Mytilus edulis: one gene and its partner. The protein of the gene in region 2 interacts with the protein of the main gene of each other region in a biochemical or structural test. Links are inferred from orthologs where the notes say so. Each region holds a gene or a part of one and is shown on either strand. Other genes may lie near its edges.

Region 1 (9,043 bases), on a different chromosome or scaffold from region 2:
AGTACTTTTTCCAGATTCGCCGGCCCCTGTAGAGAGATAAAATGTTAATTATAAGCAATTCTATTTTTACATCAATATGTGTATATATAATGTACAAACACAAAGCTTTATCATCAATCTGTTCGGCCATAATACATCAATAATACCGCTTCTTCATAATTAATATTATAGTTTCCACACAATTCAAAATGGCGACCACTATATGCATAAATCAAATTCCAAAATGTCAGCAAATATACATCCATATCTGTTCATTTTCGATTATCAAGCATAATTAACATTAAAATACGATAATATTCTTACCTAGAAGCAGTAATTTGATGTCTTTCGCAGCTTGGATACCATCCTCTTTCAAATTTTTCTCTATGGCCTTACTTCTCTCAAGGGCCGCCCTATCCTCTGCACTCATAGTACACCCCATTTTTATGCACGTCTTTAATCTAAAAATCCTTTAATTAACGATGTATTCCACCCCTGAGCCTGATATGTATGCTCAAGCTCTAAAGAGATGGAATTGTTAAAAACCAAACAATGTGGTGTATTAATATATTTTAAGTACAATCCAAATAATTCGTTATTATCATATATTCATTGAATATACAAGTAAAAGCGATTGACTCACAGAATCACCTCTCGTATTTACATCCAACTACCTTACTCATCACACCGTTTTAGCGATGCCGGTAAAAACACGGACATGTATGAAAACTTCATATATTTTTAGCTAAAGCATATCTCCGGCTAAATATTTCATCAACAAAATGGCTACCCATATACCGGTTTCATAGATGCAAACAAGCCACACGACAAAGCCTGTTTAAATATGCGGCAACTTGCTACCATCCAATGTAAAAATCGATCGCTTCGTTGTGCAGATATCTTTTCTGTTATGGGGGTTACTAAGTGACGTCAGTCCGCGCACGGGCTTTTAATACATTAATCCGCAGCCTCCGTTGCTAAAAATGCATAAAAATCAATGTCAACTTTTTGTCTTTAAACTGTTAATCGAATATTAAACACGCGTTTCTTCAGTATACCTTGGAAATCTTGTAGCATACAAAATGAATTGTCTGTAGATAACATCAGCAGACGAACACAGGTAGCTGATGATGCTGATTGGGCGGTGCCACTGCCTGTGAAATCAATTTTCTAAGGCGATGTCTATTTATGCGTACATTTTCACGTGTAAATATATGGAAAACTTAATGAGAGAAAAATGTTATGTCTCTACAGCTGGTGGAAATAATTTAATTGTGTGTTTGGTCATTAAAACTAGTTGACAGATGCCGCAGATCGATAAGTTTAATAAATGTAGAACTAACGCCACCTGGTGTTAAATGCAATCTACTAATTGATGAATGAACACAATACATGAATGGATAATTAATAAAAAGGTGTGACTATCGCATTTGATCTGACAGAAAATTAGTTAATTATAAGAATTTTGTTTTTAAAATCGTAATGTTTTAACACTCAATTTAACTTTCCATAATTTGGAAGGTCGCATATAAGTAAAAGTAAGTATACTGAGTATATACCACAGCAGTGGTAAGAAACGCTTAGGCGACAGTAAGCCTTATTATGCCTTATTTGGAATAAAGTATTGTACTCTACCAGTTAAAGTGACATACAATCCTCCTTATTAACTATTAAAAACTAAGTTTTTCTGAAATAACGAGGACACACAGGTATACGTAACAAAAGATATATTTCCTTATTTATAAATCTAAAAATAGGTCCCTAAAAACGAGAGATCTTTGACGCAATTATAGAGAAAACTCACATTTGGCATTTTGAAATTTCGTACTCGGATCAGAAAGACGCATCAAATTTACGGTACCTCGAATTAGGTAAGATTCCCACGAGCCTTTGATTTACAAACAAGCTATATTTTCATGTAAATATAGAAATGTTTAACGTCAATAAATATATTGATAAAAACCTACTTATCCTTGGGAATGTTTGGACCCATGGCCAGATGATACACATATTTGACAGAAAACTGGAAAGGATAAAAAGAAGAGTAATGCATGCAGTTTTATAAAATATTAATCTGTACTGACCCACAAAGTAGTTGTTTTTTGTTGTTGTATTAAATTCTTACATTTTAAGGGTGCATTTTAAAATGTCAATAAATGAACGCAAATTTTTAGTGTAGAAAAAATATAAAAACTAAGAATATTAAAGTATAAAAAACAAAACCTTTAAGGCAAGATTTCATAAGATTAATCAAGAATTTTGATGCTATGCAACAAACAATGTTAAAAGATATTTTTCTATTTAAATATTCTATATTATAAAATTTAGAAATTATTCTAAATTAAGAAATGTATCTCCCCAGGGGCGGATGCAGGAATTTTCGAAAGGGGGGGGGGTGCTAACCCAGGGCAAAGGGGGGTGCAGGGGGTGCAAAACATATGTCCCGATACAAATGCATTGATCGGCAAAAATAAAGGGGGTGCGCACCCCCAGAACCCCCCCCCCCCCTGGATCCGCCACTGCTCCCTCATACTTGTCCAGTTTTTGCAATACTTTTGTATTGGGTTTTGGACTTTTAAAATAATATGGCATCGAGTATCAACGAAGAGACATTAATTTTCGAAATGTGCATCTGGTGCAATAAAAATTGGGACTGTTAATGTTATTTTTCCGTGACAATAGCCATGTTTCCCTAAAATTTCATTACATCATCAACAAACTAACATGAAATGAATATATGGGAATCTTAAGATATTGTCGTGGCAAAACTAATTTTATGCTTATAGATATTTTAAATATGTCTTGATATCCTTAAATAACAGGCTTAACCACAGATTTAATTCGTTTGCAACCATGCTAACACTGTTCATTAAATGTAAAATTAATGAAGGGGAAAGAAATGTTTATTTTGATGTAATATAAAATTAAAACTGGAGTTTTATTACCTACAAACAATTGATATAAGATATGTTTCCATTTAACATAATTTTGAAATTCCAATGGCAATAGATAAAATGTAAACCATGCAAACACATTCAAACACATTCAAAACTGATAAATGTACTGATCACAACTTGACGCCGACGCTACCGGAAAGTACCGACCTGAATAAAACTGAATTTTGAACCAGTCAACACAATTTTCAAGCAAATAATCTTTTAACTGATTTAGTAATAGTTGCTTAACATTTTAAGCTGATATTAAATATTGTATGCGTATTTAGGACGTTTACATGTTATTCACATACAACACGGTTGTCTTGCACTTTAGTTAAAGGTGACAGTTTGCAGAAAGACCAGGTATCCTAAACTGACACCCAGATATTCCCTCTTCTGTGTCCTTTGCAAAGCGGAGAGTCATTATTTAAACTGTTGTCCCCTTTAACGTCCATCATAGAATGGCCAGGACCACATCATTAAATAATAGATTGACTTTTCAGTCATTTTCGGGTATATGCGATTGTTTAGTTTAGTAATTTCGAATAAGGTGCTGTACACCTATATATGCATGGTATTTGGTAAACCCGTATTCTTTATTTGATTGATTCCAGACTATCTTCATGACTAAGGCAACTGTATATAGGGTAGGCGCTTAAATTATGTATAACGATTCTGTTCACACCCGGGATCAGACCCATGACCTCCCGCACTCGAGGTGAGCGCGCTACCGAGGCGGTTAAAAGACTCCCCCTTAAAAACATCCAATTTATTGATTGGTGTCTGGGCATATTTTTTTTATCCTTTTTATATGATATTTATGATACAAAGACTGATACAAACCTACCACTGATCTCTAATGCCCTGTTCATTTTCTTCTATTAAATTAGCACAGACAATTTACTAGCTTGATTTGATGTATTGTGGACATGAAAACTACTCACTTATAGGTGTCCGTACCTGTTGAAAAGATCTAAATACGTAAGCGAAAGTTTTATTTTGATTCGGTTCACATATAACAATGCATCTTATCTTTCTGCTATTATAAATTTTAAAAAATTATCATCAAAGAATAAAAAATAAGCCGGGTCTATCATCTTATATGGATTGATTGATGAATTGATATTTGCTTTACGTCAAGTGGCAAATATTTCGTGCATATTTATGACTAGAACACATTAATGCAATACTGGTAACATCTGCAAAATATCGGGTCGACAAGATAAATATTTTGTTTGTTTTCAGCTAAACGTCCAGTGGAAAATATTACATGCATGTTCAGGACGAGCACAAATCATCAAAATAACAATATGTACGTCCTAAAATAGGATGTCTACCGGGTAAAATGCGTGAAATTTTAATTGTCTGGATAATGTGAGTATCTTGGATAGGGACAGACATTTGCCTTGTAGCAGATTGCCAACGGACCCCACAAAGAGTAAACACCTTAGTCCTTTTGGGATTCGGAGTCCTGAGCAATGTTCAGCAATGGCTGCAATGAACATTACATTGAACAACAAATCGGAGGACTTAACTTGTTTGTATTGGGGATACCTAAGCTTCACAAAATTCCGTACAAACAACGGTACATTGCCGGCTCACCTGCATGTTCCACTAAATAATTGTCCATTTAAATTCTGTCTGCAGTGAAAGAGGGTCTTTGAAATACCGTGAAACTGCTTTCTCGCGTAGTGGTATTAACCATATGTGGATTCTTAAAGTGTTTGTTAACAGTGAACAAACGGGTAAAATATGCTACACAGAAGAACAAGTTTTTTTTTATCGACAACATATTTGTTGAATTTAGAGGTAGACTTTTTCTACAAATAGTCGACATTCCCATAGGAACGACTTGTGCGCCTCTCCATGTCGACCTCTTCTTGTTTTCATATGAATCGGAGTTCCTTCAAACACATGTCAAAAACCAGACCCAAGAAGCCAGATTATCTAATTTCACTTTCAGATATATTGATGATGTTCTTTCCATTAACCATCCGAACTTTTCTGATTGGGTTCCATTAATATATCCCCCAGAACTAGAAATTAAAGAAACAACAGACACGGCCTCCTCCGCCTCATTTTTAGACTTGTACCTCGAATTTTACATACACAGTCATCTCAGTATTAGAATCTATGACAAACGAAACGATTTTTAATTTTGAAATTATCAATTTCCCCCACCATAGTAGCAATATACCAACTCCATCTGCATATGGGATATACATTTTCCAACTTATTCATTCGATATTCAAGAGCATGTTGCTCCGACTCAGACTTTGTAAAACATCACCAGTGTCTGAACAGAAAGTCATATAGTGATTAACCAGGGGTGCGCCAAAGAACGTTTCGTCCTTTTTCTAAAAAAAAAAGTTCATCGGAAGGTACCAAGACCTAGTTGATAAATATTCCGAATAAACTTCACACATAATACATGATGGTCTAGGTGTGTAGATTTTAGGTACTGACGTTGTTTATCATCTTAATAACGTGTTAAATTGTTGTTTTAGATGTCCTTGTTCTATTATTAATATCAGTTTTACAGTTTGGTTGGTTTTGGTGATATTCATTTTACGTGACTCGGTACTTATGCATCCATCCCGTCAATGTATTGTTTGTATTGTCTTTCATTTTTGCTGGTGTACTTTGTACGTTTAACTTTTTGTGTTTCTTTGGTACATACGACGTGGCTCTGTACTTTTAAACATCCCGCCATTATGTTATTGTTCTATTATAATTTTGAAAAAAACTTTGAACGACAAAAATATTTTGTATCTCTAACTGTGTGACGTTTACATTCTGACGTATAACACGCGATTCTACACCAGAGTTGATGTAAACCTAGCCATTCAGTCACAGGTCTTCGAATACTTCAATGTTCATGGGTTGATTTAAAATACAAAAATAAGTAAGCAATTAACGTGGTTGTGAATTTGATATATGCTTTTTTGTGCTTCTTTGTTAAATATTTGTTTGTTTTTGTTCTGATTTAGATTGTGACACGGTGATAACTGCTGTACCCCTATTTTGACAATTTTACCTATAATGTCTGTTTTGTTCACGCATTGTTGTAAATATAATGGAATTTGATGCGACTGTCAAACAAGTGAGAGGGTTAGCGGTATAAAACTAGGTTCAATCCACTATTTTAGTCTACATGTGAAAATGCCTGTACCAAGTCAGGAATATGAGTTATTGTCCATTCGTTTGATGTGTTTTATCATTTGATTTTTCTAATTGATTAGGGTCTTTCCGTTTTGAATTTTCCTCGGAGTTCAGTATTTTTGGGATTATATTTTTGCCTAGAAAAATCGCTCCGGACTCATAGAGTTGCTGCAAGAGTATTTAGAGTGCAGATTGCGCGACACTCGATGTATTCGATTTAACGTCCCCAAGTTCTGACCGGACGTAGGTTCGAATTTATTAATCCCACAAAGCCAACCGAAAGTCCAACTTTAACAAGCGTTTTACTAACTATCTGAAGAGGAACACAGAAAAATCATTTTTTCTACACATTCAACCCCTTTGGGTCCCGGATAAACGTCGAGGATGTCGCCTGCCACTGTAATATATGCACATTTATTGGAAAGGGGTATTGATGTCGCCTTTCAACGAGTTATTTGCTGACCCCTCAAAGGCATTGCACATTCCCATCAAGAACCATAGGATTAAGCATCCCCATTCAAACCAGACGTGGCTTTTCTCATCACTTGGCGTCCGTCGTCGTGAACTTTTACTAAAACCTTCTCCTCTGAAACTACTGGGCCAAATTTAACAAAACTTCGCCACAATCATCATTGGGGTATCTAGTTTTAAAAATGTGCCCTATGACCCGACAAACCAACCAAGATGGCCGCCATGGCTAAACATAGAACATAGGGGTAAAAATAATGTAGATTTTGGCTTATACATGTATCTCTGATAACAAAGCATTTAAAGCAAATCTGACATGGGGATATTGGGAATAAACTCATCATAGATACCAGGACTATTTTTTTTATATACACCAGACGCGCGTTTCGTCTACAAAAGACTCATCAGTGACGCTCGAATGCAAAAAAGTGAAAAAGGCCAAATAAAGTACGAAATTGAAGAGCATTGAAGACCAAAATTCCTAAAAGTTTTCCCAAATCCATGGGATAAATTGTTTAACAGGTTAAGATCTATTTGCCTTGAAATTTTCAGATGAATCAGACAACCTGTTGTTAGGTTGCTGCCCTTAAATTGGTAACTTTAAGGGAATTTTGCCGTTTTTGGTCATTATCTTGAATATTATTATAGATACAGATGAACTGTAAACAGCAATAATGTTCAGCTAAGTAAAATCTATAAATAAGTTAACTTGATCAAAATGGTCAGTTAACCTTTTAAGGAGTTATTGCCCTCTATAGTCATTTTTAAACAATTTGTCGTAAATTTTTGTAATCTTTTTCAAAAATCTTCTTCTCTGAAACTTTTAAGACAAATTTAACCAAACTTGTCCACAATCATCATTAGGTTGTCTAGTTTAAAAATTGTGTTTGATGACCCCGCCCCTGTACCAAGATGGCCGACATGGCTAAAAATAGTAGAAAGGGTAAAATGCAGTTTGAAACCAAAGCATTTAGAGAAAATCTGATAGGATAAAATTGTTCATTAGGTTAAGATCTATCTATCCTACAATTTTCAGACCATTCAGGCAACCCGTTGTTGAGATGCTGTCCCTGAATTGGTAATTTTAAGAAAATTTTGCAGCTTTTGGTTATTATCTTCAATATTATTATAGTTACAGATATACTGTAAACAGCAATAATGTACAGCAAAGTAAGACCTAAAAATAAGTCAACATGACCAAAATGGTCAATTGACCCCATACGGAGTTATTGCCCTTTTAACAATTTTCATAAATTTTGTAAATTTTTTACAAAATATTATCTACTGTAACTACTGGGCCTTGTCATTATAGATAATTGAAAGCAGCAAGAATGTTCAGTAAAGTAAGATCTACAAATGCATGCAGCGGATTACAAGCATTTAACAAGCAAACATTCTTAAACTAATAACTAGTCATATACTCATGCAGGAAGACCAGTCACAGTACTTTTTATTTACTCTTTACTTTGAACTGCATGCTAACGTGGGGCGACCGTATAAAAGTGCGAATGTACAAGTACCCAGCCACGTATGGCCAGAATACGATGCTCCGTGTAGAGATAGTGTCATGCATATTTACCCCCCTCTATCCAGGTTGACCCATGACTTGCGATAAACTGAGGCGACCGTTGGTGCGGTCATGTATAAATACGTAGCCACATTTCGACTAAATGAAGACTTTAAAACATTTGCCTTTTGTACAGAAAGAGCTACACGTACGTTTCCTTCCTTCAATCCCGATTGACTCTTAACCTGCAGGATCTGCCTATTGTAAGTATTGATGATTTTTTCTCGCAATGCACATTCATGAGGTATTTGTCACTTGACGTGCAGCAAATAACAATTAACAATCTGAATGCTTATGTCACAGTGTCGTGTGTTATTTTAATAAAATAACGAAAGTATTAACCCAAGATATCGAAGAATTAATATCCATTTACAATGGCACCACATATCCATGATAAATGGGGTATAACCAAGAAATCATGCCACAGTGTAGGAGACAGTTGTTTAAAAGTCACTTTGTCATATCATGTCTTGATAATAAGAAACGTGGGGATTTATGAAGATAAATGAAAGGATATTTTTAAGTTATTGCGAGAAGTATATTGAGTATTCGTCAATAGGAGACAACAATAAAATTACAACAATACTGAACTCCGAGGAAAATTCAAAGCGGAAAGTCCTTAATCAAGTGGCAAAATCCAAAGCTCAAACACATCAAACGAATGGATAACAACTGTCATGTTTTTGACTTGGTACAGGCATTTTCTTATGTAGAAAACCCAGCATCACAAAAGTCCATAAGATATACCAGCAATTGTATATCATTCCTTGAAATCAAAGACACCAATGTAAACATGCGTATACTAATGAACACTATCTTAAATGAAACACCGGATACGTTGGGTTGTTTTCTCTTCGTGCAATGCAAAGTTTTAAAAATGTCGAGGACAAGACTAAATCAACAACTGATACACTATAGGTATACCGATTCT
Region 2 (8,643 bases):
CTTAATTATTTGGACTAGCTTTGACATGGCACTTGGGTTTTTTTTTAACAAAAAATGGCCTGTACCTTAAAAGGAGCAGTGTTATTCTTACAGAAACAAGATCCTTGGTTTTTGACCAGGTATGAAAGCATGTACAGATTATAAAGATTAAAGACTATCTATTAAGTTACAATTAATGTGTACCTTCTCAATGAAAAGGTTTTATTTAAACCATTCTCTTAATTTTCAATAAAAATGAGTCTCGTTTTGTAAACTTCTGTCTGTTTGTTATCTTTTCTTTCATTGGCCGAAATAATCCAATCAGATTCCGTTTTAATACCGATATTACTTTACAGTACGTTATACCTAATCAGAACTTCTTTTTGCGTACACAAATAGCACTTTTTAATTAAATCGAATTTTATAGTTAAATGAGTATTTAGGGGTCCCACCCCTTATGGAGCAACATATGGGGTTAATGCATTGATTTTTTTTACTTTTTCCAATTTCGGCTGGGACTATGTCAATATAATGTCCCAGGTTTAGTCCCAGGCTCCCCGGGCCCCCCTTTTTCTAGATGCTGGATCCGCAGTGATCGTTTTCCCTTATAGTGAGTGTAGTGTTGCTTATTATGATCGATATACGGTTGCTTTTGTGATATCAACATACGTAAATGATTGGGTTTTTTTTCAGCTAAGGCGAATGAATTAAGAACAATTGAACGCATATAAAATCGAAGGTTGTTCATAAATATGATATAAAACAAAATGAATCCGTAAGCAGTCGAATGTTTGAATATCAGCATATTTTGAAAAAAAAAATATATCGATATTCTCATTTTCAAATCACCGAAATTAAACCATAACAAGTTACCTTATATATGGCAAACAGTTTTAGACTCAATTTCAACACACATTTTGATTCAAAATTAAATGTTCTAATCTTTCCTTAAAATAATTGATATCATTACCGCTAGTTCTTATCTTATTCAAAAATATGAAATATTAATATAAGATATGATTGCAGCGAAGGGATTTGGAAAGAAGATCGTCCTGATATTCATGAATTCATGAAGAAGAAAGAAAGAAACAACTGTTATTGATAATTGATCACTGAAACTGTCCCTTGTACAACTTGAATCCAAATATAAAACACTGAAGTTACTCTAGGCCGAAGAGCTTCGAATCCACTATATATTTTGAACCGGAGAGCTTAAACACAAGTTGATGTTTTGATTCTGCCAAACAAAAAGTGAACTAGATATTGCATTAATTTATACATCTCTGAGTATTACAAAATATTTCAAAAGTTAAGATTCATTTTCAAATTCGCCAGTCCTAGAATCTACAAAAGCAAACATGGAGAAAAAACTAAATATGATAAGACCAGGCAAAGATTGTCAATAAACGTGTAGCATATTAACTATATACTGTTATACCACTGTCCCAGGTTAGGGGGAGGGTTGGGATCCGGCTAACATGTTTAACCCGCCACATTATTTAAGTAATTCTCGTTTGAATTGTTTTACATTGTCTTATCGGGGTCTTTTATAGCTGACTATGTGGTATGGACTTTGCTCATTGTTGAAGGCCGTACGGTGACCTATAGTTGTTAAAGTCTGTGTCATTTTGGTCTCTTGTGGACAGTTGTCTCATTGGCAATCATACCACATCTTCTCTTTTATACACTGTTAGACAGAGAGAAACAAAACATTCAATTTTAAGGCATAAAGTATTGACTGAGAATATTCATGGCTTCATGTTATAAGGGTAGTAAAAAGATAGTGTCAAATGTTATTTTTAAAAAGTTAAATTTTGAATAAAATGAACGTCAAAACATCTCAGAAATTAAGCTTATAATATATTTTGTTTAAAATTGCAAATATGCATATTTCGAGGTTAGGACAGCAGCATAAGTGTGAAGAATCAATCAAATCCTAAATACTAACGCCTAGAATAATAATAAAAAAAGAACCATATAAAAAATAAAAAAGTGCTACCCTATATTTTTTTTTATAAATGAACTTTATCATATACTTAATAGAAAAATGAAATAAAAAAATGGGGTCACCGTTCATTTAAGTTGACAATCTGCCACCGAAAGAAGCATATTAAATGTTTGTTAATGTACTTTTTTTCTGTTGAACCAGAGACATATATACACATATATGTCTCTGGTTGAACTAATCTGAGACCACGTGTTATAGTAGTCTCAGAACTAATAGGAGAAAAAAAGGTAGTATCGAAATAAAAAAAAAAGAACTAAATTACAGAAATCGTTAAAATTTTACAATTATTTAGTTTATGAACAGCTTTTTTGAAAACAATAATAAAAAATATATGTAACCGATGAGTTAAAAAAAATATTTCAATTTTAATGCCAAAAAAATGGCATTTTTGCACCAAAGGGAGATAATTTGGAGCTTTTTCAATGATATAAATACATTTTGATAACAGTCATCTGGGGCCAAACCGAATGGTTTTTTTTTATTGATTTTTGTACCATATCATAAAGTAATAACTAATAGTGTAATAAATAGAAATTTTTGTACCCGCGAGCCTCCTTAAAACTTTATGTTTGAAGTTATGTTAAGGAGACTAAATAGATTAGTAATGGTTAGGTAAAAAGATATAATGAGCCAATGGATGAAAAGTGCATTTTAACGATCCACTGGTTCTTTCATTTAACCTTCTGATTTAGAGTCTTTTCGCAATTCCTCTAATAATTAGACAATAGTATCGGTTGCCTCAAATGACTACCTATTGATTGTCTAAGAGATGCACTTTGACAACATGTATTCATTTATTATACACACAGTAAATTTAAACAATGAAAAAAATGATACACTTGCACTCAGATCTGCGTACTGAGTCGATGTTTTGAATGAATATCATTAAGGACATTTTCAAAATAATGATACTTATTGTGTATAAAATATCCTTTTAGATTTTAAGCTTATTCTTATACAGTTATATAATTGTCGGTGAGAAGATCGTGCTGGCATGGTGTAATATCATATTGATATGAAATTTGGTTATTATTCTAAATCTCCTGACATCCAGCATGTTTACCGCAGTAGTACATCTTTTTGCACAATTGATGATTTGAGTTCAGTATTTGTGATTTTACTTTTTTGTGTTATTTCAAGTTTTGTCATGCATGAGGAACATGTACGCCGTTAATTATATATATATGATTTATTAACATGCAGTTGCGCTATACATATTTCGACTATGCCCTGGCGTTAGGGGTTTCTGGGTTTATTTTCTTTTGAATTTACAAATGAGTTCGATTCTGGCATTACAGCAATAACTTGGTGAATGTATACTTGCGGAAAAACATTAAGAAAGCACTGGCAGGAGGAATCGTCTTTTGTTGTGACAGAAGCATTACTGGTGGACCATAAACTTAAGAAAATGGCATGCACTGTATAAATAAAGTTATTTATTTTATTTTCCTTCCTTTTCCTATCTGCATGGCAAAATCTTATATTAGAAAAAAAAAATTTATACCCGCGAGCCCCCTTAATTCACTGTTGTACCTCTTTATTGTTTTCATGAAAATTCTAATATTTCGTAATTACACATCGTTGACTATTAGGCTATTAAGAAATACATACCTGTTAAGCGACGCATATGTAGATCATTGGCGGATCCAGGGGGGGGGGGTGTGGTTCCGGGGGTTGGAACCCCCTTTTTTTGGACGATCAATGCATTTGAATGGGAGCATATAGTTGGAATCCCCCTTTACTCGGCGTTGGGACCCCCCTTTTTGAGATGGTTGGATCCGCCCCTGTAGATTAAACAAAGTTGATAAATGATACATTTCGTTATCGAGCATTGATAAAGGCCTGCAACTTAGAAAATCAAAATTATCTCCCCTTAATTGACCTTTGACCTTTGACCTTTGCACTTCAATGGAAACAAAGAACTATTAATGCAAATAATTATTGACTCAACCAAAGTACGGGAAAATATTCAAATTCTCGACGAAGAAATTACAACAGAGATAGAAAGAATAAGCAGAAAACTGTGCTATGACCTCCATTGTGGCAGAACATTATTACACAAAAGGATGGCAGTATCAAAGCAGTCTGAGGCAAAAGACCCCGGGTGCAATGTCTAGATAACTATTAATTAATTTTTACCCCCAAAAATAAAAATTGAGTTAGTTAATTATCAGACATATATCTTAAAAGGAAGCTTAAGAGTAAACTTAATTGGGCAATGTAACACAAAAAGGAATATACAATATTTTAGTTTTTTTTAAAAGGCCTAAATTGGTAATATCTCAGATCAAATATTTTAGATTTTATAAAAGTATTATGATTCTATATTATCAACCTCTATTTTAACTGTAGAACAACTGGTTAAATGGAAATAAACTGATATAAATTCTGCATGTTCTGTACAGTAACATAACAGTTAATTTTAATTTTAGTCGTGTACATAGTAATGATAAATCCCAGATCATTAAATACCAATCTATATTTTTATAATCCTTTTATTTTTCTGTCAAGAAATAAATGAATAAACTATGTCCTTTTACCTTTTACCAGTAAATCTATTTCACTCCTTTTTAATCTGTACGTTTTAAGATATTTTGACTAACATTATTATATGCTTAATGTACATAAAATAGTAGGTGTAAATATTTTTATGTTAGTTTTTACATTAAAAAACGGTTTTAGGACAACGATAATCTTTTAAGGATTGTATATATTCTAATCTGGTTTGCTCCATATTTTTAAACAGTAATAAATAAAAATAAGGGTTTTTTTCTGTTACCGTGTGACACGGGTGCTCCGTTGCGGAGGAATTTACATAGAGAAGAAGAAGAAGAAGATCCTTTCCTCAAGCATTTGAATTATTATTTTACGTTTCTTTAATCACTCTGTAATGTTTATGTCATGTTGTAATTAATGTTATGCTCTTAATTGGCCCTTTAATTAATATGGAAAACAAAAATATTGTATTGTATTGTATTACATGTTGATTCCGTAAGACATAAAAGCTGTATATGCACGCACTTATTTATAACTGCAGAACACTATTTGAAATCGCATAAAATGATGAAGCTGAAGATGTCACTGAATATCATAAACAAACATATTATTTAGCAATATTCTGTTATCAAAATGAATATTGACGACAGGTGCTTGCGTATTTTAAACAGTGGATCTGACAAAGAAGCATGCAGTGTGCTACTTGAACTAACAACAAAGGTATGGACTATATATACATTTGTAAGAATGGAAATAAGTCAATTCAAAACATATAAGTTATTATTATTATTTGGAACAGTATTCCGTATCAAAGACCTTTTATTGGTCAAGTACCAGTTTTCTCTTTAGAAATTCATCTTTTTTTCTAGAATAATCTTAAAATGAAATATATTATAAAAAAGAAGATGGGGTGTGATTGCCAATGAGACAACTCTCATCAAGAGACCAAAAGACACAAAAATTAACATCTATAGATCACTGGTATCCGGTCTTTTCGGCCCCAAACCGATCCGGCCCCAAGTCAATATGGCCCAAAGTCGATCCGGTCCAAGTCGATCCGGACCCAAGTCGATCCGGCCCCATAATAAAATATGAAAAAACTATATTCACTATATGGAGGAATTTTTGACAAATTTGAACAGTATATATAAACGAAATCATTAGTCTACAATTGGTTTGTTTATTCAACAATTGTCTAATGATTGTGAACTAAGGTAATGCCACTCGTAATAATCACTTAATTCAATCAAATCCCGATCGATTAATTAAAGTTGCGTAATCAACAAGGTCTTTACATACCTGTCAACCTGTGACGATGAAAATGTAGGTCATGACCTGCATTGAAGAATCAAATCTCAGGTCATAATGCGTACAAACTTTTTCCAGCTGAATTTCAGTTGATATATTATTATAGTTGAAATATGTTTGTAAAACAACAGTGCAATTTATTTACGACCTAAAGCTAAGGTAATTGGTGTTAATTAACACTGTGTTTGACACCAAAGCTGTCAAGTAAAGCCAAGCACTTAATGGGTCACTTAATTTGACAGTTTACACAGCTAGATGAACTTCCTGTTCATGGACGAATTTGCTGGTATTTCAAAGGTTTATTACCTAAGAAATCAATCTCATGGCTAAGAAATACGGGTGAAAACGGGTCATTTTCGGAATTCCCAGGTTATTCAATAACCCGGCGGGTGACCCGGGTGATCCCTCAGAATTGTGAAAATCTCAGGTCACACCCGCAGAATACGGGTCAGTTGACAGGTATGTCTTTATAATTTGATCTTTTGTTTGGTGTATATAATAATAATTAATTGTAATTTTATTTCAGGTAACATCAGAGGCTTCTATATAACACTTTTTTTTTGTAATATTGAATATAGTCAATATATCTGTCACCAAGGTCCACTCGAGAGCACTGTTAGATAAGGGGGAGCTTACTCGTATGTGATGGAACGAAGGAACAGGGGGTCAGTCTATGGCTAGACTTAATGTTCTGATAGGCATAGCTAAAACGCAAGGAAGGTTTTCATAATTTAATTACCATGATTACTATAAAAACTTAGTCGAATGATGATAACAAATCAATTTGTAAACAATTCCAAATAATAATAATAATAATCTAATCAAAGTACAAAGTATCAAATCTAAATATCAAATCCAAAGTAAAGTTATTTCTCCTTAAAATGTAAAATATAAAAATAAATGCCAAAACTACTAAAACATAAAATGTACTTAATCTCAATTTCAAAATATAAAAGTCTCAAAATAAAAGTTTCTCAAAAGTATTTTCTAAAGTTAAATTTATAAGTCAGAGATAAATTTTGTCTTAACACTACACCGCCAACTGGTAGACAGTCTTATAGGTCCAGTATAATGACGTTAGTAGTGTGAGGTTACGCTTCCGAAACACTGACTGCCTTTCCAAAATTTCACAACAATATTTATACCAAAATCTAAAATAAATAAATATGTCTTGACACATTCATAATACTCTCATTAGCAAAAATATACTTTAATTGACAAAGGATAATCCTGTAATGTTTTGATAAAAATCTAAACTTTCAAAGTGACATATGTTAATTGCAATTTATATTTCAAAATAAAGTGCTTTGAGCAAACTGTTACATTTCGAGTATTAATGCCACAGCATAGGTAAAATCAATTAAACAAATTAATTAATATTTTACTAAATACAAACATAAAATTTTCTTTCTTAAAATAAAACATATTTTTTATCCAAAATAACACTAACACAAATTTAAGCCAAATAACACACCATGACATATTTTAAGTTTGTATGTATCAGCTTGGGGATCGGCTTGTACCGTTGTGTGTGTAACTATTTGTTATTACACAAGACAAAAGACTTGTTAGGATCACAGTCAATTGAAAGAAAATGCTAATTACTGCTGATTAATGTTGATGTCTGAATTCTTTTTATATATATGTTTTAATATATCTATATGTAATTATCTTATTGAACATTTTTACTTAGCATAAATTATTTTCCTTATTTTGTGTGATTAAAGATGGTTGCATTGATCATGTTGATAAGTAAATAAACATCAATTCCATTTTTTTAGCCTCGCATGCATATTTTTATTTAGAAGACAAAGCATTGTCTTCCAATGTTGTCAAAATTTCATGTAGATGCTTGAACTTTTTTTTAAATATGCTTGGATTTTGAAAATTATCAATTTTGGTAACTTATTGACTTGTAGGAGTCAATATTTGCAACTTTTTAATTCAGGTCAAATATTTTTTGCTAAACACTATTCGACGTCATAATTTGTCTTAAATTAAAGGGAGACAAATTTTAAAACCTTCAAGTTTAGACCTCTGTGAGTCAAAAGCAGATTTAGACTTATTTATGTCTGAGCTCTGACTGCTTAATTGTGAATCATATCTTTGATACTTTCAGCATGCACAGACCTTCAGTTTTCCAGATCTGAAATTAGAAGCCAAACAGGTACATATTAATTTTTCTTAATCTGACAGTTTGATAGCCCAAAACCCTGAAATTTTGTAAACATGACATTGCTTTGGGTTTGTAAGGCTCAAGGTAGCCTGAATGTCTCCCTCCATCTTTGATTTTGAAATAGCTGATAACAATAGGTCTATTAACTTGCATAAGTGGTGCCAAGCGTTTCCAGGTAAATCTTCCTACAGTTTGAATGCTAGGAAGTATCACTTAGTAGAAAAGCCTTCTTGCATAAGTGGTGCCAAGCGTTTCCAGGTAAATCTTCCTACAGTTTGAATGCTAAGAAGTATCACTTAGTAGAAAAGCCTTCACAGTGAACCTATGTGTTCTCATCCTCAACTTTGTGCATTTTAAGATGACACTTTGCATCTGCCAGGTCATCATTTGTATCTCCCAGACACAATAATATCTCAGTTTCACATTGACTTTGTTATAATACTGTTACTTCAGAGTTGAGTGTGAGGGCATCACTTTGTCTAGTTTCAACTGTGCTACATAAGGGGAGATAACTCAGATAAAGTAACTTTTATTTTTAAAATTATATACATGTACTATATTGTAAAATGATATACATGTACTATATTGTGAATTTACCTTTTTCACTATCATGACTATGAAGCAAGAAAACAAGTCTGATGACCTCATTTTTATATGACTGCAAAAATTGAAAAGT

Evidence for each region.
Region 1: of the proteins of chaperone Ric-8A-like (region 2) and guanine nucleotide-binding protein G(o) subunit alpha, one has a biochemical effect on the other in vitro, tested with the Caenorhabditis elegans proteins (2 studies listed by BioGRID). The link is inferred for Mytilus edulis from reciprocal best matches to the Caenorhabditis elegans genes ric-8 and goa-1.

The regions. Positions count from the first base shown.
Region 1 is NC_092348.1:39,848,592-39,857,634, reverse strand, and holds the start of guanine nucleotide-binding protein G(o) subunit alpha, read right to left. Parts: upstream 3,851-9,043; 5' UTR 3,788-3,850; coding exon 3,759-3,787; intron 1,664-3,758; exon of another isoform or gene 1,615-1,663; intron 1,339-1,614; exon of another isoform or gene 441-1,338; coding exon 304-440; intron 27-303; coding exon 1-26. UniProt on the Caenorhabditis elegans protein: Guanine nucleotide-binding proteins (G proteins) are involved as modulators or transducers in various transmembrane signaling systems. In the 1-cell embryo, probably together with gpa-16, controls nuclear rotation and spindle elongation during mitosis.
Region 2 is NC_092350.1:6,076,058-6,084,700, forward strand, and holds the start of chaperone Ric-8A-like, read left to right. Parts: upstream 1-5,001; 5' UTR 5,002-5,116; coding exon 5,117-5,203; intron 5,204-7,910; coding exon 7,911-7,958; intron 7,959-8,643. UniProt on the Caenorhabditis elegans protein: Chaperone that specifically binds and folds some, but not all, nascent G alpha proteins prior to G protein heterotrimer formation, promoting their stability and activity.